Linked DNA regions of Kluyveromyces lactis. The protein of the gene in region 1 interacts with the protein of each later gene in a pairwise test. Links are inferred from orthologs where the notes say so. Each region holds a gene or a part of one and is shown in the gene's direction. Other genes may lie near its edges. The genes, in order: APP1, NBP2, BBC1, RVS167, SLA1, SSN8 and AIM2.

What was found.
Region 2: the proteins of APP1 (region 1) and NBP2 interact in a two-hybrid assay, tested with the Saccharomyces cerevisiae proteins (2 studies listed by BioGRID). The link is inferred for Kluyveromyces lactis from reciprocal best matches to the Saccharomyces cerevisiae genes APP1 and NBP2.
Region 3: the proteins of APP1 (region 1) and BBC1 interact in binary tests that used the Saccharomyces cerevisiae proteins (3 or more experiments, as listed by UniProt). The link is inferred for Kluyveromyces lactis from reciprocal best matches to the Saccharomyces cerevisiae genes APP1 and BBC1.
Region 4: the proteins of APP1 (region 1) and RVS167 interact in binary tests that used the Saccharomyces cerevisiae proteins (3 or more experiments, as listed by UniProt). The link is inferred for Kluyveromyces lactis from reciprocal best matches to the Saccharomyces cerevisiae genes APP1 and RVS167.
Region 5: the proteins of APP1 (region 1) and SLA1 interact in binary tests that used the Saccharomyces cerevisiae proteins (3 or more experiments, as listed by UniProt). The link is inferred for Kluyveromyces lactis from reciprocal best matches to the Saccharomyces cerevisiae genes APP1 and SLA1.
Region 6: the proteins of APP1 (region 1) and SSN8 interact in a two-hybrid assay, tested with the Saccharomyces cerevisiae proteins (2 studies listed by BioGRID). The link is inferred for Kluyveromyces lactis from reciprocal best matches to the Saccharomyces cerevisiae genes APP1 and SSN8.
Region 7: the proteins of APP1 (region 1) and AIM2 interact in a two-hybrid assay, tested with the Saccharomyces cerevisiae proteins (2 studies listed by BioGRID). The link is inferred for Kluyveromyces lactis from reciprocal best matches to the Saccharomyces cerevisiae genes APP1 and AIM2.

Annotation. Positions count from the first base shown.
Region 1 is NC_006039.1:1,165,460-1,170,289, forward strand, and holds APP1 (phosphatidate phosphatase APP1), read left to right. Parts: upstream 1-2,164; coding exon 2,165-3,874; downstream 3,875-4,830. Other genes in the region: putative ATPase ECM3, read right to left, coding at 1-633; translation machinery-associated protein TMA46, read right to left, coding at 4,044-4,830. UniProt on the Saccharomyces cerevisiae protein: Mg(2+)-dependent phosphatidate (PA) phosphatase which catalyzes the dephosphorylation of PA to yield diacylglycerol. May play a role in vesicular trafficking through its PAP activity at cortical actin patches.
Region 2 is NC_006040.1:1,430,041-1,433,604, reverse strand, and holds NBP2 (adaptor protein NBP2), read left to right. Parts: upstream 1-1,968; coding exon 1,969-2,652; downstream 2,653-3,564. Other genes in the region: SLS1 (Sls1p), read left to right, coding at 1-808; U2-type spliceosomal complex subunit CWC15, read right to left, coding at 965-1,528; ACL4 (Acl4p), read right to left, coding at 2,805-3,564. UniProt on the Saccharomyces cerevisiae protein: Negatively regulates the high-osmolarity glycerol (HOG) pathway through its negative regulation of the HOG1 kinase activity. Mediates the binding between the PTC1 phosphatase and the PBS2 MAP/ERK kinase (MEK).
Region 3 is NC_006042.1:1,350,945-1,356,254, reverse strand, and holds BBC1 (Bbc1p), read left to right. Parts: upstream 1-1,903; coding exon 1,904-4,459; downstream 4,460-5,310. Other genes in the region: clathrin light chain CLC1, read left to right, coding at 1-397; PEX35 (Pex35p), read right to left, coding at 581-1,618; pseudouridine synthase PUS6, read right to left, coding at 4,618-5,310. UniProt on the Saccharomyces cerevisiae protein: Involved in the regulation of actin cytoskeleton.
Region 4 is NC_006041.1:279,556-283,724, forward strand, and holds RVS167 (amphiphysin), read left to right. Parts: upstream 1-1,987; coding exon 1,988-3,274; downstream 3,275-4,169. Other genes in the region: CIN10 (Cin10p), read right to left, coding at 1-1,032. UniProt on the Saccharomyces cerevisiae protein: Component of a cytoskeletal structure that is required for the formation of endocytic vesicles at the plasma membrane level.
Region 5 is NC_006037.1:445,191-450,475, reverse strand, and holds the start of SLA1 (cytoskeletal protein-binding protein SLA1), read left to right. Parts: upstream 1-1,688; coding exon 1,689-5,285. Other genes in the region: SCL1 (proteasome core particle subunit alpha 1), read right to left, coding at 1-78; 2-hydroxy-palmitic acid dioxygenase MPO1, read left to right, coding at 365-886. UniProt on the Saccharomyces cerevisiae protein: Component of the PAN1 actin cytoskeleton-regulatory complex required for the internalization of endosomes during actin-coupled endocytosis. The complex links the site of endocytosis to the cell membrane-associated actin cytoskeleton.
Region 6 is NC_006041.1:737,204-741,171, reverse strand, and holds SSN8 (cyclin-dependent protein serine/threonine kinase regulator SSN8), read left to right. Parts: upstream 1-2,446; coding exon 2,447-3,361; downstream 3,362-3,968. Other genes in the region: ICE2 (Ice2p), read left to right, coding at 1-959. UniProt on the Saccharomyces cerevisiae protein: Component of the SRB8-11 complex. The SRB8-11 complex is a regulatory module of the Mediator complex which is itself involved in regulation of basal and activated RNA polymerase II-dependent transcription.
Region 7 is NC_006037.1:303,085-306,932, reverse strand, and holds AIM2 (protein AIM2), read left to right. Parts: upstream 1-2,069; coding exon 2,070-2,816; downstream 2,817-3,848. Other genes in the region: KLLA0_A03399g (fungal specific transcription factor domain-containing protein), read right to left, coding at 1-1,317; flavin adenine dinucleotide transporter FLC2, read right to left, coding at 3,114-3,848.

The DNA of each region.
Region 1 (4,830 bases):
AGCACGATCGTTTTCTTTTGAACAGAATGATTGTGAATCAGTTTGAAGATGAAACTGAGATGCATTAGATTGCGCAGGTGGTTCGAGTGGTGTCTGAATAGAGGCATTCTCCTCATCCGCGTACTCGAAATCCATTTCTATAAGTCTAAAGCCTCCTAAGTTGAAGATGCAAATCATAAACATGGCCAAGAAAATAATCACAGAAGCAATACCCTTATCTGCTTCTTCTTCTGTGAAAAGAAGACCTTGATCCATAGTTTGTAATATAGCGATTGGTAAATCACTGATATTTGGGAATGTCCCACCGGCTAATATACCACCACGCCATTTTTTCGGTACGGGAAGCACTTTCCTAACTACAAATGCAAAGAAAAGCCCTGTACCAAATATCATGACTGCCGTCAAACAAATGATACCGACATCCTTGGCATCCCTATAATCAATACTTGAAACGATTTTGTTAAATGATAGCGACGGTAGTAAGACCGTTAGAACGATATCTGAGCATGTCCGGGTTGCTGCGACGGTAAGGATATTCCCCTTAGCCAAACCAAACCCAGTCGCTATAATCATATAAATCTTAATAATAGGCTTCACTGAAGCCCAGATCGCTTCTCCTACAGTCAACCCCATATCGTGCTGCAAGTTTTATGCAATCTATAATTCATGTAACTTTTAATATCTTTAATAACTTCGAGATTATTATTCGAGTGAATATCTCCCGTGGTGTTATATGCTAATCCAAGTGTTTCCTCTCTCGTTTGTAAGACAACCTGGTCTTTTTATAAATAGTGTATTCTAGGATTCAAATACTGTCGATCAGTAGAGGAATTTCAGTAACGTTGTGCCACGGAAAAACCAACCTATTTAGATCTTTATCGAAGCAAATTGGAGTACCTGTTTAGGAAGTTCGCTCTAATTCTTGGCTTATGTGCAAAGCAAATATGTTACTCTTATATGCCAAAAAGATAATCAAAAAGAAAACAGAAGAAGTAGGCGCTGTACAATGTGAAGCCCTAAAAAGCGTTCTCACCAACACCTTGTTCCTTTCGCTTTCCAAACCAATTTATAGAAATACAACTATCTTTATATTATCGTGATCTCTGATAACTCATCGCTTAAAAAGCATTTTGCAGGCATTTTTCAATATGACTACGAGGAGAGGAGATAACTAAAAAAAAGTAGTTTTGCATCAACCTAGTTTCATGAATTACATAAACTAAAAGCCGGTGTTGCTGAATGATTGCGCAGCTGATGGTATCATTAATCTCTATGAGCTACCGGTTTCCTAATGCATCCCATGTAGCGTGATGAGAAAAGGGAAGGGCTGGAAGAGCTGAGCCATTTTGTGACCCATACTTTAATGTGGGATCGGGAATCTGCGACCGTTGTGTTTGCCCACGCTGAAATCTCTAAGAAGGTAGCGTGGGGATCGGAAGATAATCAACGCTTATATAAGCTGGAAGAATATTTTCATTCGAGTGGTAGAAAATACGGGTCACGTGTTTCACGTGACCCGAATTTTACATGCAGGTTATATTCTTGTTTAATTATACTTATGAAGTGCAGCACATACGGTTCAAGGAAGTCATATTCCAGTTGTTGCAGTATTTCAGCAAAACTTGATTTTTCATTTTCTTTCTTGTTGCTTGTTTTTTTGTTGGGACTATTGGGATGTGGAATCTTTATTATTATTTTTTTAAGGTTTTATAAAGGTTTAGTATCCAGGCTTTATACAAAAAGAACATGCAGATGAAGACATGATATAGAGACGCATTTTGGTTTTTGCCTTGAAATTACTGTATTTAACAAGGTCTAACACGCTTCAATAAGTGCCTTTGAATGAAATAATCATATTTTCTGCATTCGGTTAAGGGATAAATTATTATCTTTCCTTTGATCTCTGTTTTCTTCTCCTGGTTTTTTAATTGTGATTATTGACTCGGATCGTTTATCAGTGGACAGTTACAGGCGAACTGTTTAAAAGGGTCTTACAAGTCACAACTCAATACACAAACGTTGGAAACCCACCGTATTTAAAATATTTGCCGTTTTGTTGCCGTTGAATAGTGTTTTCAAAGATCAGAGAAGATCTGTCTCGATTTATAAGAAACTGCGTAGAAAGAGAACTCTTAAAGCGTTGAAATCGAAATTAAAGATATCTATGGACCCGTCTTTAGCTGCTGATGGATCCTCATGGGGTGCTAACGTGCCGTATGGTAGGAGACAGCGAATCTATAATATGGTGAAGCACACCAAGGATTCGTACTTCAATGCTGCCAAAAACTCTTTGAAGAACTATTACGGGAATGACATGTCACCTGCAGAGGCAAGGGCTTTAGAGTTTCAAATGTTCCCACCTAAGCTGCTTTGTTACCCATCATACTCAAGAAAACTATCGGATAGTATCTATGTCACAGAATTAAGAGGGTTGATATATTCTACCGGTCAACGAAGCAAAAGAAACAGTATTCTTTTGTCTATTTGCAAACAGTTTTTAAGAAACGATCCTCCACCTAACGTTGAACAAAGATTAGAATCTTTGCAAAACGATTCTAATATCTCGTTGGACAGTTCATCTACGACGTCATCATCCACAAGCTCAGGTCAACTGTCAATGGGAGATGGGGTTGCTCCCTTGACACAGGAACAAGTTTTAAGGCAAAGAATAGCGGGGTTCATGAATAAACATCTCCCGAACGTCAACCTTCTAACTACGCTGTATAACGGATCAAATGATAAGATGGATCAAATAACGGTCTCTGATAACTCTGGTGGGTTTAATATTTTACTCAGTACCGAATTTAAACCAGCTGGTGCAAAAGTTAAATGCTTGGAAACCGGGCTAGTCCAAGATTGCCAGATTTTTTATGTCGAAAACAGTGGAGTTGGACTTATTAGTGACATAGATGATACAATAAAACACACAGGTATTGTTGGAGATAAAAGATCGATCTTTTTGAACGTTTTTGTCAACGGATTTGAACAATGGAAAATTCAAGATATGCCATTATGGTATACGACATTAAAAGATAGCAAAGCAGTTGATTTCTTTTATGTATCAAATGCCCCTGCTCAGATATACCCAATATTATCGGAATATATTGGTGAAAACTATCCGTTAGGACCCATGTTCCTCAAACAGTATTCTGGTAACTTACTCTCAAGTATTATGAAATCCAGTGCACAGAGAAAGCTTGCATCAATATTGAAAATATGCAATGATTTCCCGAACAAAAAGTTCATTCTGGTAGGTGATTCCGGTGAGCAAGACCTCGAAGCTTACGTATCGGCTGCGAGTCAATTTCCAAAACAGATTATTGGAATATACATCAGATGTTGCAAGAATTCAATGAGTGATGAATCTGAAAATGACGTAAGAGTTATGAAAGCTTTAAATGATCATATTAAAAAGTTTTATTTAGACCAGATAAAGGAAGAAGATGATATCCCCGATTTAATCCAATTTGACTCAGATTCAGATTCAGATGTTGCCCCAGCTAAAACGGATAAAAAACAGCCTGTCAAAAAAAAGCCTCCACAGGTTCTAAAAAAGAAGCCAGTTTTGAGTGATGCTCTTCAGCGTGAAATTTCTGAATCTAAATCGTCTGGCACACAACCACCTTTACCTCCTAGAAAACCAACAAGACTAAAGATGCGCAGTATGGACAACGCTGTATATTCAATTCCATCCTCGCAGAATGATTATGGAACATATTCTGAGTTCTTTGATAAAAAGGCTGAAAGTTGGAATGAAAGAGTTAAAGTTGCTGTAAAAAAGTTAAAAGAAAACGACGTTAAAGCTAGCTTCATGTTTTTCAATGATCCCATTTTGTGCTTGGAAGATAGCATAAATAAAATTGATTCATTATGATAGGAAACTGGAAAATGATAAGTTAGAACATATATATTTCTCTTTGCAAATTGAGTATTAACTATATTTAATGACAAAATATTTATGTATGAATGACAAAGAGAATTTTTGAAATGAAGACAACCAACCATTGAAATATACAGCGTGTATGCAAGTGCTGTCCTTTTTCTCAGGCAGTAAGTGTAGTGCTTTGTTTAGATGGGCCATCTCTGCTAGGCAGTTCAAAAGTAGGATTACTACCATCACCATAATCTTTGATTCCACTAGATCCATTACTATCTTCATCTCTTAATGCTTTTGTGAACTCGGTCAAATCCCACGCTGAACCGTTCGTGGAATCAGTTTCATCGACGAGATCAAATCTCTTGTCTTCTGTATATTTCTTCAGCACGACTTCACGTCCACTAGGTTTTTTCTTCAAGTTATTCTCTTTTTCTAGATTGAGCCTTTCAATTCTGTGGTTCTTCTTCCATTCAGCAAAGTTGTCCATTGTAATTGGTGTCAAATTTCTCTTATCCAAGCGTTCCCTTTCGGTTTCGATGAATTCTTCCAAAGTGATCTTTGGCTTCTTCTCAAAGGCCTCCATTTCTAACCTCTTCTGTTCTTTAGTCTTTAATACGAATCCTTCCGGTAAGGAGTGCTTGTACATACATTTATCACCGCCGTTAGGACAAATCCAAAACCACCCGTACTTACCGTTTTCGACAGCTTCGATGAAATATTTACAAACCTTTTCAGTGGTTGTTCTAGGATTACCATGCTTGGACAAAATCACACTTCTCAACTTAGCTTCATCCCAATTGTCCATAGTATCTTCTTCCTTTTCACTTCTTGTGTCCTGATACAAATCTCTCTTCTCCACTCTACGTCCGACATTCATATCATGCGAGAACTTACAGCGTGCACCTTTGTTACAATTACCAATCTTGAATAACGCACAGAGCACAGTTTTAGGA
Region 2 (3,564 bases), on another chromosome or scaffold:
GGATATCTTAGAAATCAATAAAACAAAATGTGCGAAACCTCTCGCTTTCACTGAAACGAAATCATTAAGTATAGCTTTTGGTCACATCCTTGAAAATGCTCAAAACAAAATTTTGTTTCAATCCAAGATTCCGGAAGTGGTTCCTAAAGTTCTTCGACTACCTTTATGGGATAAAGACGGTTATGTGGAGGACGATTTATTCTCAGTTGATCAGCATCTATATTTGGTTCAAATGAAATTTGTTCCCAACTTAGCGGACGTTTCTCACAAGGTTAATGTTTCTCCTTTGGAAGTTTGGTTCACCTTGGATGAAAATAACAACGCTGATACTTCGACCGTCAGATGCATCCACACTTATTCGGATAATTCAGCTTGTATCCAAACTCCTACACTTTCTCATGACTTTAAAATCACAGTGACAGATACAGTGGATGCACTTCCAGAAGATTTGGAATCTTCAGAGTTTTTCGATTGGCTACAGAGGGAACAACCAAGCTTCAGGAAATTCTTACAGGAAAGTAATTTCTCTTTCGGAGGCTTGAAGAAGCCCCGCATTGCTCCTTCTTTTGAATTGAACGTGAAATTAGAAGGAATGGAAGAACCGCAAAAGATCAGATACAATTATTTGCATCGCTACGAACACCGTTTATTAAGATTCAAGTACAAAGAAGATTGTTTGGTACAACTCTCTGAAATTGAAGGCGGAAGCTTAGGAGGCAAAGCTTCATCTATTGATTTTATCAGCACTAACGGATCCATCAACAAGGACATCGTTAGAAATTTCATCGATGACGTTTTACAATTCTGAAATCATTCGAAATATTTTGGTCCTTAATGCATATATGTATAATTATACAAAGTCATCCTGTAAATAGTGCGGAAGAACAGATATATAGACTTCATTTAAGTTTTTGACGTACACCTGTCGATTGATTCTCCATAATAGAAAAATATTTAACATAAACTATTTTACATGCTTTCGTATAAATTCCTTATGATATTCGCTTTGAGTAATATTATTGACATATTTTCCCTTCCCATTTGAATTATGTTCAGATATACTTGCCGATTGATTGACTGTACCTTTACGTCCAAATACAGTGTTAGATCTCCAACCACCATGCTTTTGCGGTTTCGTCACTTCTTCATTTTGAGCTGCTGTGATTTCAGCACGCTGTTCTCTCAGTTTTTTGTCCAATCTTTCTTGCTTAACTTTATTCCACTCCTCTAATAGCGCTTCTTCATCTTCACTCTCCTCCTCCTCTTCCTCGTACTCATCGCTACTATCCGTGGCCTGTATCTCTTCATCTTTCGAGCATTCCTCTGCTCCAGTTATTTTGATTCTTTTCTTAGCCTCCTCACTCGGAGTACTTTCTACTTTACGATTCAACACCCTCTTCTTCGTGTTTCTATACTTAACCTCTTTGTGCCCCGGTAAAAGTCTAGCGTGCTGCGTCGAAGTAGGAATGTATTCTATATTCTTTGCCCCATTCCTGGCCTCTAGTTGAGGTCTGTGCGATGTAGTCATTTCAGAACACAGTCAATATTATATTCAATCTGTAGCACTCCACTGAAACTAACGTAAGCTTATCTACCATCCCAGGTACCAGTTAAATTAGCTCACCTGTTTTGCCTGTGAACAATCTCGTGAATGTGCGTTGATGTTCAATCTTTATAGCCTTGATATGAAAAAATAGCAATCTGAAACTTCAAATGCGAATCTACGTTAACAATTACCGTGTACCAAAGAAATAAGAACTACGAACGTCGTACTGGCAACTACATATAGCAAGCTACATTTCATACCAAACTTTTCTAAGAGGACATAGGACTTTATCATTTAATCATTTCCCGTGGAGCATTCGTTCACACTAGAAATATAGAACTGAACACATATTGAATGAGGCTTTGAACTTAGATCAAAGACGGTGAGATTTACTAATAACATCAGAAGACATAACTATCATAATGTCAGAATATGAGGTTGACCAAGAGGACGATATGGTTGGGTACATATCGATAAAAGATTACGCATATGACGAATCAAATCCGTTACATTTTGGTTATTTTGAAGAAGATGATGAAGATCAGAACAACCTTCGATTGAGTGGGAACAGAGAAAGTGTGTTACTACCAGATGATTATATCGTTAATAAGAGAGCCATAGCGATGTATGCTTTTGTCCCAGAAAATGATAACGAGTTGGAGTTGAAAGAAGGAGATGTCGTATATATAAGTTACAAGCATGGCCAAGGGTGGTTAGTGGCAGAAAATCACGATAGATCCAAGACAGGATTGGTACCGGAAGAGTATGTGCAGTTGATTGAAGACGATGGCGAAGACAACGGTAGGTATGAGAATCCTAGGCCGTTTTATCTTACTCAAATGATAACGCAGAGCATGTCTAATTATCACGATGATGATTGGGAAGACATAGAAGATGACGAGGAAGCTGAAGGACATAGTGATAAAGAGCACAGAAGTATACAGCGACCCAGTCAAGATTCAGTATCAGTTGATATAACGAACAACAATGGTGTTTCTCATGATAATAGAACTGTTCTTGAAAACGGAAAAACAGGCAGTACGTTAAATGAAAAGAGCGACGTATCAGAACTCGCGAAAGATATCAAGGAGAAATTGGATCTATAGCATTCTGTTTTCTGCGCTAAATATCTATATATTAGCTGCAATATTAATTAAATACTTTTCTAGTAATACGTTACAATAAAAGTCCCGTTAAGATGAAATGAAAGAATTGATCAAAAGCAGTTTAACATGAAGCCCGTGCCTGCATTCTTAGATCATTCAAGCTCGTTGATTTCGATTTCATCAATTTCTGTAACTTCCTCTCCACGTTTGAGTTTCATTAGTTCTGTTATATCAAGAGCACCACCAATTTCATTCAACAAGCCATGGACTCCTTGGATTATTTCCTTGGCCATTTCATCGTCGGACTCCGCATTTTCACTGAACTTAGAAGCAAAGCTCAAAGAAACACGCGCCTCGTAAATAATGTCCTTCAATGACTCATTCTTGATATCCAAAGGTAATTCTTGGACGTGGGAATTGAATTCGTAGATATTTTCAGGAGATAGTTGTAATGATTGGTTTTGTTGTTTAAACTGTTCTAATTTAGCCATCAAATAATATGTGAACCCTTCCAAGTAATAGCTCTCCAAATTGTCTTCGTCAATATCTTTGATCGCTGCTACTATTTGTAAACTTATCTCGTATAATCCCATTTCAATACACATTTTTGCTAACGAGATTGCTGGTTGTAGTAATTCAAGATATTCTGCATGGCTGGAAACGCTTTCCTCCGTTAATTGTTCTTCAATGGACTCTTTTTTCATTTGGAAGAATTCCCAGGCTTTTGTGAATGCTTCCGAAGCTTCACCGAATTTTTGTTGAGAAATCTTAATGGAACCTAGCACTGACCAAACCTCCGATGACTTACCTTCTGAAATTTCCATTGCCTTTGAAATTAACTCTTCGCATTCTGATTCTGCCTCCTTTTCCATACAAAGATCAGTCATCCATATTTCTATCATCGCAAGTAGC
Region 3 (5,310 bases), on another chromosome or scaffold:
GAGTAGTTCTGCTGAGCCTGTTGTAAGAGGGAAGTCCGAGGCTTTGGAAAACTGGAAAGCTAGACGTGAGCTTGAAATTTCTGAAAGAGATCAAGCTGAAGATAAGGCCAAGGCAGACTTACAAGAGGAAGCTGCAAAACATATTGATGATTTCTATGAAAACTATAACATTAAGAAGCAACAGGGAATTGATCAAACTCAAAAAGAAGCTGAAGAATTCCTTGCTAAGACTCATGCTTTTGCCTCTCAAGATTTGACTGTTTGGGACAAAGCTCTTCAGTTGATCAACTTGGAGGATGCTGACATTGTAGATGGCAGAGATAGATCCAAATTCAAGGAAATCCTACAAAGGTTGAAGGGAAATGGATCCGCTCCAGGCGCCACTGGTCAAAAATAAGTGCTCTTAACGTTAGAAACGTACGAATCGTGATATATATATATATACGTATGTATACGGGATCTGTGTATAGATCAACATATGCGTAACATTTATATACACACCGACACGAAAAGACTCTAATTAGAAAAGGAACACACGCATATTGATACAAATCAAACTAGGAACAAATCAGTCTGTTTATTAGGCAATTGGGTTCCTGGTTAGATATGAGAGACTAAGGGCAGCGAAAATGATTGGTTTTTGATAATGTGGTATCCTACCAAGTTCTTGAGATAACGTTGATCTCCCCAAGTATTTGAGTAGCTCCCAGTTAATATCTAAATGTTGTGGGTCGCTCAGCAAAGTGAATGACAACATGATGATGATCGATTTATGTAATGGCTTTAGACATTTGGAATGTTGACCGTTGAAGATTAACATCACCACCTGTCTCCAGAGCGTCCATTTTACACATTTGATAAAATTGTCACTGAAGAAATAACCATACACTCGTTCTTTGACCGACCCGCTTGATTTCTTATCGGATAACTCATTTAACTCTTCTAACCTTTGCATGAGTATCCTTGTCATTGAACCATGTTGTGTCTGAGATTCCTTTGCCTCTGAATCGAACGTCATTGAGGAAGTATTCACTTTATTCTTCTTAAGCTTCTCTTTCAAAAGGATGGATTTCACATTCTTATAAGTCTTGACGACATTCCATGCGACAAATAACAAAAGGAAGTCCTTCCAAGGTTTTCTAGTCTCGAATAATATCCTGTATAATCTCCCCTTCGATTGATTTCTGTGGTATAGGATTGGTATCAAGAGACTAGCTGCCAATTGCCTGAGAAGAATCCAACGGCGTTCGCTTATACTGGAATAATCAACCCAGAGCTTGATTTGATCTACAACAGATTCTACAGCCCAGTATGAAACAATCCAATGCGGTAGCTTAGCCTTGAGCTGCGAGAGACCAATCGTTAAACCCAGGAACCAGCTGGCATGTCTTTGACGAATTATCCTTCTCAGTAACGGTATAGCAACAACGATAGGCAAACCATCGAATAATGAACTGGCCGTTAACTTCCGGTGCTTTTTTAACAATGCTATAAACCCATTAACACCAATAACTCCAACGATGCGACGATACAAAGCGTTTCTATCAATTTCCGAATCATAGTCGTACGCTAAAAATCGAATGAATCTCGCCAAACGAGTATTCGAATTCAATGTCATGCCTTATCCAATCAGTCATAAGTTCTGCAACCCTCACCTGCTGATTGAACGTTCATATATGCCTTTCAATTGACGTGAAGTCTATCATTCGTTCGTTATCTACCTTTCGGTGAAATCTAATCCTTTAAAATTGTTTGGAAAAATGTTACTAAAGCCTTTGAAATTAAAACGATTCCTTATATCGCGAACTTTTCACCACCCCTTTAACAAAGAACACTCGGCGAGTGAAATAAAAGGACCAGCTTACTAGAAGAACAGTTCTCGAAACTAGATTACGTGTTAAAGATGTCTGTGCCATTTAAGGTCGAGGCATTGTTTCCATACACCTCAGATTTTGAGGATGATTTACCATTTTCCAAAGGTCAGATCATTACGGTGCTTGAAATAGAAGACGATGAGTGGTTCTTTGGTGAGTTTAAGGATGCTGATGGTAAAACAAAGCAAGGTATTTTCCCCAAAGGTTTTGTTAGTGAACCTTTGAAGGAAACTGCTAGTGAGCCTGCTCAAGAGAAGCAGCCAGAGGAGAAACCAAATGTGGAAACTCCGGTCAAGATTCCGGAAACACAGACTGTCAATCCAAATGCTGCAGCTGCAACTGCACCAGTCCAGAAGGGAAAGGTTTCTCAGGATAATGTCAGACAGTTGAGAAATAGTCTGTCGTTTCAAGAAGGTTCTGGTGATACTGAGAGGAGTGGTTTTGTTAATAGCGATGATTTGGTAAAGGAGGCTAAGTCGGAATCTAAAATGTCCTTGCAGCAAAGGATATCCATGTTACAGCATATGCAGAAACAACAACAGGAACAGGCGGAAACTTTGCATAAGCGGAAAAAAAGTATTTCTAGTGTGTCGTCCCCAACCGGCAGCGTTGCTACTGCTAGTGCAACTTCTCCAGTTAATATTGAAAAAAGGGAAAGTTATGATGCCTCTGTTATTGAAGATTCCGATGCTGAAAATCCAGAAGTTGATGTCAGTACTTCTAGCATTCACACAGCTCCACCAATTCCTAATGATACTGCTTCAATTGGCTCTCACCCTCAGCGTACCTACTCTATTCCTGAGGAGTCAGTTAACGAGAATGACGATCGTGATGATAATGATGAAAATGAATCTTCTGAAGACGAAAATGAAGAGGAACAAAGACGTGCTGCTTTAAGAGAAAAGATGGCAAGACTAGCAAATGCAAGTAGATACGGTATGCCTAATGCGTACTTCAACCCATTTGGAATGCCAATGCCTTCTGCTGACTCTTCGAAGACCCCAACCAAAAGCAAGAAACCAAAGGAAGAATCTGAAAGTCCAACTGAAACGTCATCTCTTCCAACAGCGGTTCCTGTCATGCCATTTGCCGACCCATCGATGCTGCCAATGTTTAGGAAGAAGACTGAAGAAATTGCTGTGGAAACTTCTGGTCATGCCGAAACCCCAGAAAATCAAGCTGACGAAGAAAGCGAATCTAGCTTTGTAGATGGAGTCGATGATGCTCAACCTGCTATTACAGGTTCGGTGAATTACGACAAAGACCCAGACTTCCAACATAAAGATGAAGTACCCGAGGGAAGTCAAGGCCTTTCTGGATATGAATCCGAAGATGAAACTACTAAGAAAGTGGAAGATGAAGAAGAGGAGGCTCCGTCGCCAACTGTTCCTCAAAGAATTAGGCCCACTCATGTTTATACAATTGATACTTCTCCGGGATCCCCACAAACTCCACAAACTCCACAAGCTACTAACGCCCCACAAAAATTGCCCGCAGCCCCTCCAATTCCATCTGCTCCTTCCGTCCCGCCAATTCCAACAGGTGCACCAATTCCTCCTGTTCCTTCAAGCGTACCTGTACCACCATTACCAACAAAGGCTCCAGCACCAGTTTTAAGCGTTAAAACCGAAAACACTGAGCAGAAACTGCCAACAAAACAGCCCGCTGCTGCCCCTGCTCCTCCAGTACCAAGCAGTGGCGGCCCTCCACCATTGCCTCCTTCTAATGCACCGCAACGAAGACCTTCAATTCAGACTATTCCAGGTGCAGCAAACTCATCACCAGCCACTCCTTCATCTGCTGCTCCACAAATTCCGGCCAGTTTCCAGCCATTAAGACGGACAACTACGGCGAAATTTGAACCAGGTACTATTCCAGAATTAGAGTTCTCAAAGCAAAGTACTTGGTGGTTAACTAAGACAGTTCAGGCTGATACTGTTAAACCAAGCAAAGTAAAATACATCTGGGAATCTCAGGATCACATAGTTGAAAGAAGGAATACAAATAAGTTGGTTGTCAGAGATTTCCAGTTCTTGTTCGAAGATTACTCTCAAATTCAAGCATATGTTGTATATGATCCAAAGAATCCAATTGAGACAGCAATTTCCCATCAGGACTATATTCCCTCCTCATCACAAAGTACTGGTAGTGATCTGTTAATCAAAACAATTTACGAAAACAGTAACAAATGTGTTGGTAAAGCTTGTCATTCATTTATTCCTCAAATATTGGGTCCAATAGATAATCTAGTCCCACCAATTGCTCAAAGAACTTACGGTATCACCGTTTTTGAACATGCTTATAACACCGCAATAGATGAAGCTGCGCTAGGAAAATTGGTACCAGGTTTGATACTTGTTGCAAGAAACGCTGAATTTACCTTTGACGATGGTTTAACGTACAGCTTGGGAATAGAAACGCCGTTTGTGGCCATTCTAAAATCTGTGGATCTTGAAACTCAATCTTTATCAGTGATTGAAGAGCTTGGTGGTGAGTGCAAAGTATCTATGTATCCACTTGAAAACTTGACTAAAGGAAAGTTAAAGGTGGCCAAGCCAGTACATCGCAAGGACATTGGTTGGTAAGAATGATACAAGGAAGTAAAACAAATTGACCTCTTGAAGAACAAATGCAAGAACACATATGCTGCTATTTGAATAAATATATAGTATATACAATATTGATTGAGAAGGATACTAAAAAAGTTAAATACATGAATAAAGAAACAACTCAAAACTTGATGTTAAGCTTGTTTCTCATTTTCGAACTTCGCCCAGTAGGGATAATCTGTTTCAAACTCCAAATCCAAACCTTTGTATCTCCAAGCATGTAGATATAGCTCTAACGATTCTGGAGTTGGATCTTTTGGCATTTCTTCGTCGCATTCAGGACATCGTTCTTGATTTTCATTCAATTGATCCCAGACATCATCCAGTTCAACCTCGAACCGCTTCCGTAGCTTTTCGATTCTTTCGTTTGTTAGTTGAGTCCAATCTGGGGTCTCAATAATAAACCTTGACCGTAATGGGTACGTTGAGTTATCAAGGTTATAAAACGGATCGTTTGTAATGGGGTGTCCCTGTCTTGCCAAATGGATACGAATTTGATGTGTTCTTCCCGTGAAAGGTTTGCATAATACAATTGATTGATCAGTTACGGCATCGTATTCCATTAATTCAAACTCAGTATGTGCGTCTTTCAAAGGGGATAATGGCTCTGATTTAATTTTCAAGTCACAGGTATAGATTGGGGATTTATCAACTGCAGTTTCAGGAAATTTTCCTTTTACTCTAGCTAGATAATATTTCTTCATATCACGATCTCTTATCTTAGATTGAACTCTGTTAGCATCGATGGGATTTTTGGCCAGAATAAGTAAACCAGAAGTGATCTTATCCAAACGATAACATGGGTGTACTGGATATCCCAAAGAATC
Region 4 (4,169 bases), on another chromosome or scaffold:
AAACATTAACACACAGCCAATGATTAAGGCTCGTTTACTTTTTCCCTCCCATCTATGTCTTTTTTTACCTAGTTGCTCATTGTAGTACGTAGCACCCAAAGAAGATCTTCCAGTTCTTGTTGATGCAACGCTTCTTCTTTTGTTCACAGGGAAAAGCAATGGATCGGTCTCATCATTATGGTATCTTAGTTTATTCAAATCACTAGTCAATTTTCTTAACTTATGCCGTATTTCAGGAACCGTCGCAGCAGGGTACACCTTATGCAGTGCCAATTCTGCCTCCACCAGTCTTGATTTAGATAATAACCATCTGGGAGATTCTGGAATAAAATCTAATGTCAACAGAAATACAATTGCTGGGATGGATCCTAGGGCGAAGAGATATCGCCAGGCTGCAGTTGATTGAGGGTGGTCATTGTCAATCATGAAATATGCAATGACATACGCCGCAAATTGCCCGCCAGTGATACTTATAGAGTTTAACGTAAGCATGGTGCCTCTTATCTTTGCCGGTGAAATTTCCGTTAAATATATTGGAATGCATTGAGCTGCGATGCCAACGGCTATACCAACGACCAGCCTACCGGTGACTAACATCTCGAAAGTGTAAGAAACTGCCATTAGCATCGATGAGGCAGCAAAAATGATGCAACAAACCGTTAACGTGTGTTTCCTACCGCATCTGTCAGCCAAGGGGAATGCTATTATCGATCCTATGAATGAACCAGCACATGTTATAGAAGTGATTATTTCCTTTTGCCAAATTTCCAAACTATGAAAGTTTAAATCCTTTGGATTCATTGCTATTAAAACCCCAGAAATTACACCAGTATCGTAACCGAAAAGCATCCCACCAATTGTCGAACTAACAAACATAATACCCGTCCTCCATGTGAATGGGTATGGTCGTTGTTCAATATCATTTGCAGTGGTGGTGGTCATCTGAGAGAAAGTGGAGTACAAATCCGAATACACATCTTCGACACTGCTATCTCGCTGCGGTGAGGAAGATCGTACAATATCGTCCACCATAATACGGTACCAGGTTAAGAGAATATATGCTGGATTTTGCTGTCCAACGGATTGTAAGAACGCCGCTCTATGAACAGATCGGTGGGATATTACAGCAAGTGTTTAAAGTTTGTAAATCTTTGTTCGAGCCTTGGAGTCAGAAAATGGTTTAAATCCCATTCGGTAATTTAAAGTGTCATTTACTATATTAAGACATTAAAATGAAAAGAGGACAAACAACATCTCCAATGACAGTAACTTCTCGAAACTACTTGTAATATCCATAACGAAACAACCGTTATGTAAAAATATACCTAACTTATATCCTACCAAGAATCTTGCTGCACTTTATGTACCTTGCTCCACAACTATTCTCAACCGAAGGGTACATTGACTATTAGCCTAGAGTCAGCAGGCCTAAAAAAAAACAAGGTCAAGCTTGCAGCATATTTGAGTGATACGCACTCAAATTACAACCAATAGGAGAACCAATGGGCGTTAATAACAGTATAGACCATCCCCTTAACTTTTCACAAGCCTACTGCTCAAATGCATTGGGCCAATTTCCGATGAACTAAGCCAAGCCTTTTTCCTTTCTGTACGCTTTTGCCGATGCACAATACAATTTCAAAAAAATTCAAACTTTGGACAATTTCAATTTCATCACTTTGGAAGGGCATGTAAAAGGGGCAAACTTGAAAGGCAACTGAAGCGGTATATATATCTAATCAGCGTGTCAACGAGTTGTCTGTTAGAGCAAATCTGAACTTAAATTAATCTTTCGAAGGACAAACAAGCGTCTTTGTCGAGGGAAAGAAAGTTAATTTATTATAAGGGCAAAGAGAGAGAGCACTCAAATAAAAAACACGAAGAACGTGAATTTAAACAGATAAAAAGCGTTAAGTTTTGAAGTTTAGAGCGTATACAGCGAATAAGAAAGCAAATAACAATCAATATATTTTCCCCCTAGAGAGTCATGTCGTTCAAAGGTTTTACAAAAGCTGTCGCCAGAGCACCCCAGTCTTTTAGGCAAAAACTGAACATGGGTCAGCAGACTGTTGATCCTGTTTATGAGGATGCTGATCGTCGTTTCAAGGAATTGGAATCGGAAACGAAGAAGTTGAGCGATGAGTCAAAGAGATATTTCAATGCCGTGAACGGTATGCTAGAGCATCAAATTGGATTTTCTAAGGCAATGTCGGAAATTTTCAAGCCAATTAGTGGTAAGATGTCCGATCCCAATGCCGCTGTGCCAGAAGACAATCCAGAAGGTATTGAAGCGAGTGAGCAGTACAGTGCAATTGTTTCTGAGTTGCAAGCTACTTTAAAGCCTGATCTAACTCTGATTGACGAGAAAATTGTTAAACCAGCACAAGAGCTTTTGAACATTATTAATTACATTAGAAAGATGTCCACCAAGAGAAACCATAAAAAGCTAGATTTGGATAGGAGCTTGAACACGTACAACAAATATGAACAAAAACAGAATCCAACGCCAAAGGATGAGGAGAAAAAATATAAAGCCGAGGCTCAAGTCGCCGTAATGCAACAAGAATACGACTACTACAACGATATGTTGAAAACTGAATTACCTATACTTTTCCAATTGGAATCAGAGTTCGTGAAACCATTATTTGTTTCATTCTACTACATGCAATTGAATATCTTCTACACCTTATACAACAGGTTCCAAGACATGAAGATCCCATACTTTGACCTGGATACTGACATCTTGGAGGCATTCCAAGCTAAAAGAGGCAACATTGAAGAGCAAACAGATGCACTAACCATTACTCATTTCAAGCTGGGATACTCGAAGGCCAAACTAGATTTAACCAGAAGAAGATATGGTGCTACTGACGACTCAAGTCCTGGAAGTCCAATGAGCCCACCCGCATACGGCCAAACATACGGTCAGCCTGAACAGCCACAACAGATGGGCTATGACTCAAAACTACAACAGCCGCAACAGCAACAACAGTATCCAATCGGAGGTGTTGCAGGTGCCGCTGGTATCGCAGGATACAATTCGGTGCCCACCACTGCGACCCAGGCATCATACACTCCTCCCACTAGTGCAGGAGTGGAGACATGTACCGCTTTATACGATTACACGGCCCAAGCCGAAGGTGATTTGACGTTCCCTGCTGGTGCCATAATCCAAGTCGTGGATCGTTCCGATGCAGCAGGATGGTGGGTCGGTGTCTACAATGGCGTCCAAGGTGTATTCCCTGGGAACTACGTCGAACTATCGAAACAATAATGAAAACAAAAGAAAACTAATCTCTTGGTCACTTTCCATTCCCTTTCTGCTGTGTATAGACTGAACTTGAAAAAAATAATAAAGCAAAAGAAAAGCTCTCCTAGCCTGTAGTTACTATATACTCTAACCTTGTTTAATTCAAGAATGCCCCATAGCTTTTAAAGGATACAGAATGCACATCACTATCGACGGAATTGACGATATTTGGTCACCTGGCAATAGTCAGACATTGCTTCATGGAGACGAAAGGGGTTCGTCAGAACCCCTGTCTACATGCCCCTATATTTCTACACATCACCAGTAGCAGAGCCAGCCACTAAAATCACACTGGTTTCCAAGCACACAGCAGGTAAGATGGAAAAGAATTCCATGAGAAAGTACACTAAGCCTTACTGCAGGAACAGAAAGAGATACGTCTCTATATATACTTAAAACCAGCTATGTATTTCAATGCAACAATTAGCTCCCACCATCACAACTGCTCCCACTGCAGTGCACACAACCAGAGCCTGAAAGCCCCCTCCCTTCAAAATACTTTGGATATCACTATCCCACTTCCTCCTTGCACGTCTCTTTCTAGAAGCCCTCTCGATCCTTTTTCAGTTTTTGGCTCATTTTTCATTGATGAACTTTATTTAGTTTCAAACATAATAAAGATAGCCAATCTTAGGAAACGCGAGAATGAAACGGAAAGTTTTAGGACAAGAAAAGCAGAAGTAAGTATTAAAGATAAGAGAAAGAGCCTGGCAAAACATAGCCGAGACCGTATTTTAGCCAAGTTATTATCTCAGTACTAGTGCTCTTTATCTAGTATTGTAGCTCCAGGGTTCTAATTTTCTGATTTTTATATTTCCTTGGAATCCCATTTTTTTTTTCTTCTTTATTTTCCAGTACT
Region 5 (5,285 bases), on another chromosome or scaffold:
GAAGGCATACTCGACTTGGTAAAGACGACCTTCTGGAGAGAAAATAGTAATGTGACGATCGTAACCTGCAGCAGACATAGGATATGTGGTTATAGGGATTCCCAATTGACGATTGAGATTCAGTAGTTACAGGAAGATCAATGAGTTGCCAGGTTCTTCGTATATCTTGGTAAAGGTAACTGTAGTGCGTTGATGTGTTTGCCACCAAAATTATTTAAAAGTTGAAATTAGAGTTAAAATTGAAATGAAATATTAAGGAAGGGGAAGACAACTGAGATAATGCAATCAATAAGAAAAAAAACAGCAACATCAAAAAACACAAGCAAAGCATCCGTGTTACGGTTTTGCGCTACCAAGTCTCAGAATGAGTCCCAGTCTTCTAGATCTAGAGACGCAACTAGCGTTCTACAAAGCTTATCATAACAATACTGGGAATGTGTTAATTCATAGCATTTTTGTCCCAACGATTCTCTTTACATCCATGCGTATATTGAACGACGTTAAGATCTGGAATGGCTATACCTTGACTCATTTGTTAGCGTTGTCATTTGGGTTGTTCTATATACTGTTACGAGTAGGTACCGGAATCCTTGCGTCGTTGATATTGGCACTGACGTGCAAATTTTTGAACGACGGGACTATTAAGATGACACAGACCACTGCCTGGATATTATTTGTGATCAGTTGGATCTTCCAGTTCATTGGCCACGGTGTTTTCGAGAAGCGCAAACCTGCGCTTCTCGATAACTTGGTGCAAAGTCTTGTGCTAGCGCCATACTTCATCCTTTACGAATTACTATTTATTTTAGGGTTCATGCCTGAACTTAAGAAGAATCTACAAGCTCGTGTTGACAAAGAGCTAGATCGTATGAGAGCGAGTAAATAAACTTAACCTCCGTTCGCCTAAACAGTATATATGCTCTATTTATGACTTCTATGATGATGACAATAACGATACTTGAACCCATGATGGAATTGAAACATCAATCACGTGATATAGAAATGATCTCTTTTTTTTCTTCTTTCTATCAGATCTCTGCGATTCGCAGTCACATGACTAGAACTGGGCAAGAACCCCTTTTTATTTCCAGATCCGGGATCACCGTATCATCATGTACGAAACACAACCCCGGGTAACCAAAGGATCACAGAAAAACAATTCGAAAACTGCAGGTTCTTGTACCACACTGCCAGGAACCGGTGCTGCGTGCTGTCGGTATTTTCATTTGTTCTTTTTCTGAGTGAAAATGAGAGAATCAGAAAATGAGAAAAGATTAGGCCCAAAATAATTGAATAAGTCTATCAATATACTTAGAACATATATAAATATATATATGTCTATACATATATAAGTAATTCGTATAAACAAGTTTTAGCTTGAATTGGGTTAGAAAGGCCAGACAAACTCTTGAGGTTTAGATAGAGTGCGCGAGTTGCATTGCAATTGTGCAAAAGAGAAAAAAAAAAACCAATCAAAACGGAGAAATAAAAGGAAATAGCATAATACCGAAAAGAGACGACAAAAAGGAAGTGTCTCGTATTCCTGCATTCTTTTAGTTTTTGATTTCAATTTAGTTTGGATAATTAAATTTGATTGGCGATTTGTATAGGGATCCTCTTGGCCTTGTATACAATCTGGAAGCTTATAGGTCCTTTTACTTGGCTCCTGACGCATTTAAATACCTACAATGACGGTGTTTTTGGGTGTTTACCAGGCGCTTTACGATTATTCTGCGCAAACAGATGAGGAACTAACTGTCAAAGAGGGTGATCTATTGTATCTTTTAGAAAAATCTAGCATTGATGATTGGTGGACCGTTAAGAAGAGAGTTATCGGATCTGATCAGGATGAACCCGTAGGTTTGGTCCCCAAGACATATATTGAAGAGGCTCCAGTGATTGGGAGTGTAGTTGCGCTTTACGATTATGAACAAGTTCAGAATGCCAATGAGGAATTGGTATTCCATGAAAACGATACGTTCCAATTGTATGACGATAGGGATGCAGATTGGTTCTTGGTGAAGAATACCAAGAATTCAGAGGTTGGGTTTGTGCCAGGTAATTACGTGGAAAAACAATCGCAGCAAGCTGGAGGTCCCGCTGCAGGAGTTACACAGTCTAAGCACCAAGCCCCAGCTGTTCTACCCCTTTCTGAACTTCCAGCTCCACCTCAGAGGTTGGACAGAGTCAATTCTCAACCATCATTCAGAAGCGGATCTACCCCTGCTGGCGCTGCAAGTACAGCAGATGCTCCAGGAGCTCCATCTACATCGACACCACCACCAGCATCAAATGCAGGCGTTGCGTCTCATACAACTATGCCAGTTGATGTTTCACTGCTCCCTCCACCTCCAAAGAGAAACGATACGGCAACCACAGAAGTCCAGCGTGAGTCAGCAGTAGCAGAACCTCCAGCAATGCCTCAAAGACCTTCTAATACTGAACACCAAACAAGTTATCGTGATGACCCAAGAGACAATAATAGAACTTCCCAAATAACTAGAGATTATTCAGATGATGAGCGTGATTACGATTTCGATGACGATGAGGAAGATCAACCTCCACTGCCATCTAGAAATGGAAGACCTTCAGCCTCGACCGCTGAACATGTTTGGTCTGTTAGTGAGGTTGATGGTCGTAAGAAATGTAAAGCTACGTTGACTGTTTCTGCTGAACGTATTCATTTCTTCTCTGCAAAGACAAAAGTGGATCAAGAATGGGCAGTTAAAGATTTGATCAACTATAACAATGAAAAAAAGCATCTATTTCTTGAATTTAAAAACCCTTACATTAACTTGGAATTGCATACTGGCTCTAACGATCTGGCTAACGAGATCATGGGCGTCTTGGGTGAGATTAAAGGTGCCCAGACAGCAGTTGGGTTACGTGAAGTTGAAGCTGCTTCAAGGCCTGCCATGACCAAGAAAAGAGCTAAAGCTGTATATGACTTTTTCGCTAACTCTCCTGATGAACTCACCGTTAAAGAAGGCGACTACATTAATATCTTAGATGACAGGACTTCGAAAGACTGGTATATGTGTGAATCTGTAGAAACAGGTAAAAGAGGCATTGTCCCCGCACAATTTGTCGAAACACGCGGATCAGGCTCATCAAGGCCTTCTGATGAAAGCCCTTCTAGGAGTAAGTCTAAGACCAGATCCAGATCTAACACTTCTAACTTTACTCAAAATTTAGTTGGCAGCTGGAAAGAGGATGCTGATCAAGATGTATCGAAGAAAAAGTCTAAAACTTCGAGCTTTTTCTCCAAGAAGAAGAAAACTGATGATAAAGAGTTCCCTGATCCTAAAAAGGTTAGAATTTGGGTAGACAGAAGTGGTACTTTCAAAGTTGAAGCACAGTTTTTGGGCTGTGTCGATGGGAAGGTTAACTTACATAAGGTGAACGGTGTGAAAATTGCTGTTGCTGCAGACAAATTGTCCGAAGATGATATTTTGTATGTGGAAAGATTGACGGGTATGTCTATGGAGAAATTCAAACATAAACCCAAGAGTTCAAATAATGACAGTAGTGCAGTAAACGCAGAACGTGAAAGAAGAAGAAAGGCTAAGGAGCGTGAACGGGAACTTGAAGAAAGAGAACGTGATAGACAATTAAGAGAGCAAGAACTTAAAGAGTTAAAGAGGGCTAGAGATCTCTTGGAAAGCGAAAGAGAAAAGCTGAGGAGTGCACAAGACAAAGAACTGCCACCTGTGAAACCACCAAGACCAGGCAGTGAAGCAAGCAAAACGCACCCTGTCACAAAGAGCTCCAAGAATCCCGAATACGATTGGTTCGAATTTTTCTTGAATGCTGGTGTTGATGTCAACAATTGTCAACGCTACACCATTAATTTCGAAAGAGAGCAAATTAGTGAAGAAATCTTGCCAGATATCGAGCCTTCTTTATTAAGAAACTTAGGTCTACGTGAAGGTGACATTTTAAGAGTAATGAAGTATCTAGATAACAAGTTTGGCAGAACAAAGGAGGCTTCTCCATCAACTGGATTGTTTACTGAAGCCGATGGATCCTTGAAGGTTAACCATACAGGTGCTCCCGCATCTGCAGGCGTATCTCATAATCTATTACCAGATAGTAATTCATCGAATAGAGATGATGATGCATGGACTGTTAGACCTGCTGCTAAAGCCAGCGACAGCTCCAACAAGGCTCAGGATTTCTCTGGGTCACTTCAAGATTTGCTTGATTTGCAACCTTTAGAGCCGAAGAAGAAAGAAACACCAGCTCCAGATGTCAAGCATCTAGAATCTGTCACCACTAACGGTTCGAATAAAAAGGAAGAAACCCCTCTGTCAGCAAATAAGACGGGTACTTCTTTGGTTCCATTAGATCCATTCAAAACTGGTGGTAATAATCTAATCCCTATTACTACAGGGGGATTCATTATGATGCCAGTAGCAACAGGCGGTTTAATGCCATTCCAACCGACTGGGGGGCTAGTACCTCTGCAAAGGACTGGAGGTATGATTGCACCTCAAACAACGTTTGGTATGCAACCAACAGGTACTGTCTTGCCAGTTCAAAAGACTGCGAACGGTTTGATACCAGCGAACACTGGAGGGTTGATGCCACAAACGACGTTTGGTGTACAACCCCAAACAGCATTCCCCGCTACAACCTTTGGTTCAAGTATCACAGGAGGCGCAATGCCTTTACAAAGGACTGGTGGTGCCTTACCTCCTACTTCCTTCAACACGCAAATGCCCGGTGCAATGCCATTGCAATCAACTAACACATTTGGTAATCAATTAACTGGAGGTGCTAATTTGCTGCCTTCCACCACTTTTGGAAACCAATTTACTGGAGGTGCTAATCTACAACCTGCTACCACTTTCGGAAACCAATTCACAGGAGGTGCGAATATACAGCCGGCTACTACCTTTGGGAACCAATTCACAGGTGGAGCGAACATCCAGCCAAACTTCAATTCTGGGAATCTATTTACCGGCAATCAAATGAACATACAACCCCAGACAACGTTTGGTAATCAATTTACAGGTGGTATCAATTTGCAAAACCAACCAAGCCTCGGAAATCAACTTACTGGCGGCGCTCTTCTTCAACAATCTCAGCTCTCCTTCGGCAATCAATTAACTGGTGGTGCTAATGTTCAACAACCGTTCAATAGCAACCTACCACAAACTTCATTTGGTTTATCTCAAACTACGACTGGTGGATTCCAGCCACAATCGTCATTTGGTATCAATTTACAAAGAACCGGAGGTATGAATACAGCACCTCAAACATCATTCAATAACCAAGGAGGT
Region 6 (3,968 bases), on another chromosome or scaffold:
TGGAGGGTGTTTTCACCATTCTCGCCATTCAAGCCATAGGGGAGACAGAGAGATGGCTCAAGATGTCTAGAAGAAGTAATCAATGGGTTATTCTGAGTTTGTTGATCAGTGGGGGAATTATTACGCTATCACTATTTTACTTTTACAGAATATATGTCACTCCAATGTGGGAACTCTCCACACCAAGTGCTTCACTACTTGGGTTCACATTCTCAATTGTTTGTGGTATCGGATTATATGGTATAAACGGATCAGGGTCAGTGATGGAAAGCTCGTTGTTTTTTGCTTATATGGTTCGCAATGTTTACGAAATAAGTCCTAAGATGGCGATGAATGCCATGGACGAAATATTCGATATCGTTAAGGAAACATGGAAAATCCATCAGGCTAATTTGCCCAAGAAGGATAATCTTTTGGAACTCATGACTAAAAATTATCGCGCCATCTGGAGTCAGATAGTAGAACACACGCCTCGGAACCATAAATATATTAAAATGATGGACCAATGTAAATGGATTCTAAATCCTTTGTGGAACTCAGTGAAGAATTTCACTAAAAGCGTACCGATAAGTATCCAAGAAATATTCGTTGTGACATTCAAGATGGCCAAAGAAAGTCTAATACCAGCAGTTGTAATAAATTTAGTGTTCAGACTACTGATATTTTACAGTGCAACACGTATTATACCGACATTGCAGAGAAATACAAAAGAACGTAGAAGTTTCAGAAGAATAATGAATTTTGTGTACTGGTATTCACCATGCATCATTATTGCAATGTACACGCATTTGATTCTACGGTATAGCGGTCAATTGAAAAATGATCTCTGTATATGGGGATGTTTCCCATACGAAACAGAGCCAAAGATCGTGGTTGATTCATGGTCCTTTTGGAATTGGTGCAACATTTATTCAACCATGTTGATTTATGCATTAGAACTTATGGGTAGTAACAAGTAGAAAACCATCTGATGATCAGTTCACGATCAGAAATAAAAAGCCTCTTTTACTCCAGGGCAGAAATAGAAGATAGCTATGTAACATTAGAGGTGAGCAGCTTGAGACAAAGTTAGATATGGATAGGAAGATCACTTTTTGTGCCACGTTATGTAGTTCAGCTGATAGATAGAAATGGTAGGTAGTAGTTCCGTAAATGGAAAGCAAAGAAATACAAGAGATACTTACTCGATGGGAAAACCACACTAACAAGTAGATGATTCTAGTACTACACATGTTTACAACTCATAGCAAATGGTTAGCCGGACTCATACTAGATGGTGCGGTGCTAACAGCGTTCAAGAAAAAATCAAAACAGAGAAGATACATACAGTACTACTCTAGACCGCAGTCAATAACTCTTCTTTATCATCAAGGAAATTTGATCAGTACGTTTGTAAAAAGCAAGTCTCGTCCATGCTATATAAGCTCAGAGCTTGACTCTATGTTGCATTGTTATTTCATCACGTTAAAAATCCTAAAATGAAGAGGGAAAGATGACGGCTGGATCTTTTGAAATTCTTCCTTGTAGCACTTGATATGAGAGGATACTCAACTGAGTATAATCCAAGGCAATAAATGATACAATAATAAATAATCAGGGCAGCTTGGCATATTTGACTATGCGTAAGTATCGAAAAGTTCAAAATAAATTTGAAACGAATCCACTTCAAGCTGTTTGATGATTGAAAAAAGGATGGAGAGTTTCGTGAGCCGAGAAAGTAAGCTCCATTGGGTTACCCAAGCTACCTCCTCCCTAATCACCCCTGTAAACAGAAGTAACAAAAAAAGAGATAAAAACGCTCGGGCAATCGTCATAACTTTCGTTTAAAGTAAAGAAATACTTCAGTACCCAAGACACAGAGGCTTCTAAAACAGCCTCTGGATAGAAACCGTGACAGAAAACCAACACGATTAATGAGTTGATTTAAACATTTGAAAAGTTTTTAAATCTCATTACGTTTCCGCTTACGGACTGGTCGGAGACTTTCTACCCAAAGCTATAGAAATGATATCATTTCAATTGAACAGATAAAATCCGTTCCTTATGTAAGCTTCGATCAGTGACGATTCTTCGACTACAAAACCCTCGACTTACGAAACAAACAACAACAAAAGACAACACTAGAAAACATTTAATTAAAAGTAAGTGTTTGAAGTGCTGATGTTTGGTTCATATAGTTGAATGTTTAACTTTTTTCCAAAAAATTTTCAAAAAGGTTACCCGACTTCTTAACGACCTGAAATTTAGGGCTGCAACGGTCAGCTTATCATAATGTACTTGATGATGAATTGAAGAATAGCGAACGGTAAGGTAGTAAGAACCGAATCGGGTTAGGTACTTTGAACAAAGGATTCCGACAACAAAAGGCAGTACAAATTTCACTGGAGGATAAAAAATACCTTTCCCCCCCTTATTCATTGAACAGCTAGAAGATTATCTTTCCAAAATGAGCGCCTCATACTGGGATTCGAGTCAGAGGCACAAGTGGAAGTATACTAGGGAATCCTTGGCTAAGGAGAAGCAGAAACTCTGGCTGTTGGAATGCCAATTATTCCCACAAGGTTTGAATGTTACGATTCACGATTCGAAGGCGAACAAGCAGGTGACGACAAACATTCCGGTTACACAGCGAGATCTGCATTATGATCGAGACTACAATTTGAGGATATACTGCTATTTCCTTATAATGAAGTTGGGCAGGAGGCTCAATATACGGCAGTGTGCACTTGTTACAGCACATGTTTATTTGAGCCGATTTTTGCTTCGAGCTAGTGTCAGGGAAGTGAACCTGTATCTTTTAATCACCACCTGCATCTATTTGGCTTGCAAAGTGGAAGAATGTCCGCAGCATATAAGAACGCTAGTCAACGAGGCGAGGTCTCTATGGCCAGAGTTTATTCCACCGGATGTGACAAAAGTGACCGAGTTTGAGTTTTATTTAATCGAGGAATTGCAATCATATTTGATTGTACACCATCCGTACCGGTCTCTAGAACAGATCGAGAAGGCATTATCATCCGAAAAGTACAACTATAAACTCTCAGACGATGAGCTTCAGAAAATATGGTCGTTGATTAACGATAGTTATACGACCGATGTCCATTTACTCTATTCACCGCACGTGATCGCCATAAGTTGTCTATTTGCAGTGTCTTGCATCATTCACAAGCCAGAGGACAGTACAAAGCGTGCTAACATCAACATGTTCATCGCTGAAACTCAAGTTAATTTGGAACAAGTGATGTTTATCCTTCAAGAACTCATATCACTATACGACCATTGGGACAAATACAATGAACTGCGGATCAGAGCGCTCCTACACGAGTTATACCTCCGTCAACAAACACCAGCAATTCAGTGATTCTGAAGCCGAAAAGATTTCGTTCAGTTCACACCTGTACATACATAACAAATTACGTAGCATTCAAGATCAACCACGCATCAAGGATATATCGCATAAGAACGAAATGAAATTATATTGGACAACTCACGGAAGAATCACAGAAATGCAGACACTGAGAAATATACACATTGTACGCACAAAAAAAATTTAGTTCGCAATCACAGTCAACTAGAGGACAAGTAGAAGCCTCACTCCAAGAGCTGCATTTGCAACTTCTATTTCTCTTTAACACCAAAAATATCTTTGGCGAAGCGATATCTGCCAAATAATCTAGAGCTATTCATGCGCAGAAAAGAAAAAAAAAAGTGAACGAACGGCAATATGATTTCGAGAGTTAAACATGAAACTCGAAATCAAATCTTAACTAACAATGTTAACGTGTATTTATAAAGAGTAGAAGTAGGAAAAGTGGAAGCACAAGTTCAAAAGAAAGCGAGTCCAAAAGTTTAGTGAAGCAGAAGCAGAGTGTCTGTCATTTCATTATTCTGTGAGGTTCCCGCATTGTATATTAGTTAGGATACCATCTCGGGAATTTTTTTTTGTTTGCCAAGAGTGTTGATATTTG
Region 7 (3,848 bases), on another chromosome or scaffold:
AGCCTGTACATTTGCAGTGGATTTCTGAGGTGTTCTACCCTTGACTGTAATTTCAAATCTTGATATTAGACAATAACATAACCATAATCGTCTTCTATAATTTTTATACCTAGGATCAATTCTCATGTTTCCAGTCGGTTCAAGAAATTGTGATGGATCCCTATCAAGACCCAGATCAGAAACCAAAGGTCCCATCATGCCAATAACACCTTCGGATGTTGAATCGTAGAATATACTACATAGGTCAGGTTGATGAGCAAGGATGTTCCAAAGCAGCATGTGCCAAGAAATAACTTCTTCAGTTCTTGACTGATAGATGTTCAATATCGACACTAATTCAGCGGCAGAAGATGTTAATTTTTTCTCCAGTTCTGCAAACCCTTCGATCCAAGCCCTGTCGCCATCGTATTTATGTTGAACATCCTGTTCCATAGCCCTTTGATCGAAAAGCCGTAGTTTCCAATGTGATATGGATAGTTGAAGTATTAGATAAAGAATAGAGATGTTCACTAACTTCATTTTGATATTAGTGGTACCGGGATTCACTATTATCCGCTCTGGATTATGTGAATCCATGTGGATCACTTCGTTAAGATTTTCTTCAAAGAGATCGATATCGATACATGGCCATATCGGGTAAATGTGGTGGTAGAAGTTATCCAAAAGTAGTCTAATATTGGGTAAAGAAGGCAAATCATTCTGTATTCTTCCAATATAAGCCAGTAGTATCGGAGAGTATTGTCCATAGAGACATTTATCCTCAATAAATCTAGGAGCAGTCATCGTGTTCAAAGTTGCTAAAAACAACTCGCTGTTGGAATTTTCTGAGGCTGGCTGATTTTGAGCAAGTATTTGTTCGATGAAAGCACTCACTTTCTTCTTCTTCAAAGGGTTCAATTTCTCGAATGCAGATGGGTTCAATTTAAGAATTTTGAGTATAGATGACACATTAAATTCCTGATAAGAATCGGGAGTCCCCAAATAAGTGTTCAGCGTCTTACGATACGGAGTTTGGAAAACAAATTTGATGAATATTGAAATATATGGATCAGGAAAAAGCATATAGTTGACAGCGAATGGACCAATATCTTCTCTAATAATACCCTTCGTGACGAGATGAGGAAACGACTCATAAAAATTTAGCCGTATACCATCGGTCTTAGCTAGATCCTTTGTCGCCGAAAGCCTAGCAACAGATGTCCGAATAGTCGTGGATACATTGCTGACGGGATCCTGCTCAGGCTCTATGCCAAGAGCAAGATTCCTCCAATATTCTACTTCCTTTTCCAATTCCTTCAACGTTGCATTTGTGCCCATTATCCACTCAATTGTCAAGGATGTACAAAAGAGCACCTCAAGTATATACTAGCAGTGCTTATGGAGATTATGTGTCACTAAATTTCAGATCGACACCACACGCGTCGACACTACCGTTCTGTAACCACTTTCTACAGTGCAATTATAGAAATGCCAAGATAAAGGCAATGCGATCAATTTTGGATTTTCCAAATGGTTGAATGTCAAAAAACCATCTTGCCGAAATCTGAAGAATCAAGTAAAAGAAGATGAGTTTTACAGTTTGCAGAGTAGTGTTGAGATGTGTAAGGTCTTTATAAGATTTTTATTCACCCATTAATTTTTCTTTTTTGACACTAGCTTTATTATTATGAACCGAACATTTGCCTTCGAGTTCGAAACTGAAAATTGTATCGTTTGAATGGTAGAGAACAACGAATTTCGATTGAAACCTTCTTATCGACACGGAGCTAACGTTTCAATTAGTAAGCTCACGCTAGCTATTTTGATTTATAAACTAGTAATCCAACCTTCAAGTCCTATCGTTTTTCCGTGCGCGTGTCTTCATGTTATCAACCATAACTGCCGGAACAAATCTTGCTTGCGGAGTAATTCCTATTTTTAAGAACGTTATATGTATATAAAGGGAAGAACTTTTTACTGGATTTAGGAAAAAGTCATGAGAAGCATTCAGTATACCTGTTGGATGTGAATGCTCAAGAGTGCTCGTATCTAATACTTGAATTGCCCAACAAGAAGTACAACGAAAAGAAATGGCTTCCAATCCTCCAGGTAAGTGCTGCGCTCAAGGTTTTTATCATGAAGGTACCCCAGCTGGTACCACTACTAGTCTTTATGGGTTCGAGACCTATGTGGCTGGGCCCGAATCCTTGAAGAATGAACATGTTTTGGTCATTGTAACAGATATTTACGGTATTAAGGTTAACAACGTTTTGCTAATCGCTGATCAATTGGCTGCAGCTGGGTTCAGAGTCTATGTACCAGATTTTTTGTTTAACGATGAAGTCGTAGCTTTGGACGGCTCTTTCGATTTCAAGTCTTGGCTAGAAAGGCACAGCGCCGAAAAGACCCACGGTCTAGTCCAAGATTTCTTGACCAAGTTGAAGGAGGACACTAACCCAAAGAAGATTGGTGTTATCGGTCACTGTTTCGGTGCCAAATACGCTTTATTACAAATCAATGAAAAAGTCGGTTTGGCTGATGCAGCTGCCCTTGCTCACCCATCATTCGTTGAGATCGAAGAAGTGGAAGCAGTTGGTAAAAAGCCAGTGCTGATTTCTGCAGCTGAAACTGATAACATCTTCCCTGAAGAATTAAGATATAAGACCGAAGAAGCTTTAAAAAAACAAGGCAGCTACTACCAAATCAATGTATTTGGCGGTGTTTCCCATGGGTTTGCTGTCAGAGGTGACTTAAGCATTCCAGCAGTGAGATATGCTCAAGACAAAACCATCGAAGACCAAATTTCATTCTTCAAATTCTTCTTCAATTGCATCTGAAAAGCTTAACTATATATCTGTTAGCTTTTGCAGGATGTAACTACATTTTCCTTTGATTTTTGAATGTTAAAGTTACGTTGTAAGTTTACATATGTATATTTAGTTCAACTATTCATTGCTTCCTTAATTGTTTGTTTCTCCGATGGCTAATATGCGCAACCACATGTGGGAGGAAGAATGCAAAAAGGTGCAGATGTTCATAGAATGTATATACATCTTAATTCTTAATGATTTCTTGTCTTGGAATTATTATACAATTGCTCGCGTTCTTGAATACCAGAGTGTATGTGTAAGAGCTTACAAATACGGTACATTGTCAGATTTATTATTCGTTTGTCTGGTAAAACTGTTGTAGCTTGGGTTTTCGTTCAAATATGGGTTGCTACCAGAGAAACCTTGATATTGTGTGTTAGCAGAGAAGGAGTTTTCCGGTTTCCTTAAATTTGTAGTGCTTGGAGCTGTTGGAACACGGTTATAACTCGTGGTATTGTCCCCCATGACGGCAGAACTTGGCTGCAATGGTTCGTTTCCGCTCGAAGAGTCAAATCTTCTAATACGAGATGAAGTATCGTATGTGGTATTAGAGTCGTCGATATCTTCATCAAACAATAATCTTGCAGAATTATTTGATTGTTTCATTTCAAATTCGTCTTTTAAAGGTGGTTCGTTAGTGTGCATAGCAGCTCTACCCAAATCGAACAATTCTCCTGTTTCACCCTTTGTTTGAACCTTTGGAATGAAAGAAACACGATCATCCTTCATTGGTTGGTAACGAGCATCTGGGTTCTTGTGAACCAAGGCCAACACACACGTAACAATAGTGAAGATCATGAGGAATAGTGCAAAAATAGCGTTCACGACAAATAGTATGACTGCCATAACACTGGAAACCACAGTAGGTTGTCTGAACAAGTTCGAGAAGAATAAAAATAAGATAGAATTGAACAAGTTGACCGCATGAATCACGATATTGAACGCATTGGTACGTTTATCCAAGTAAGGTCTTAACCAACATAATGCAATGAAATATGC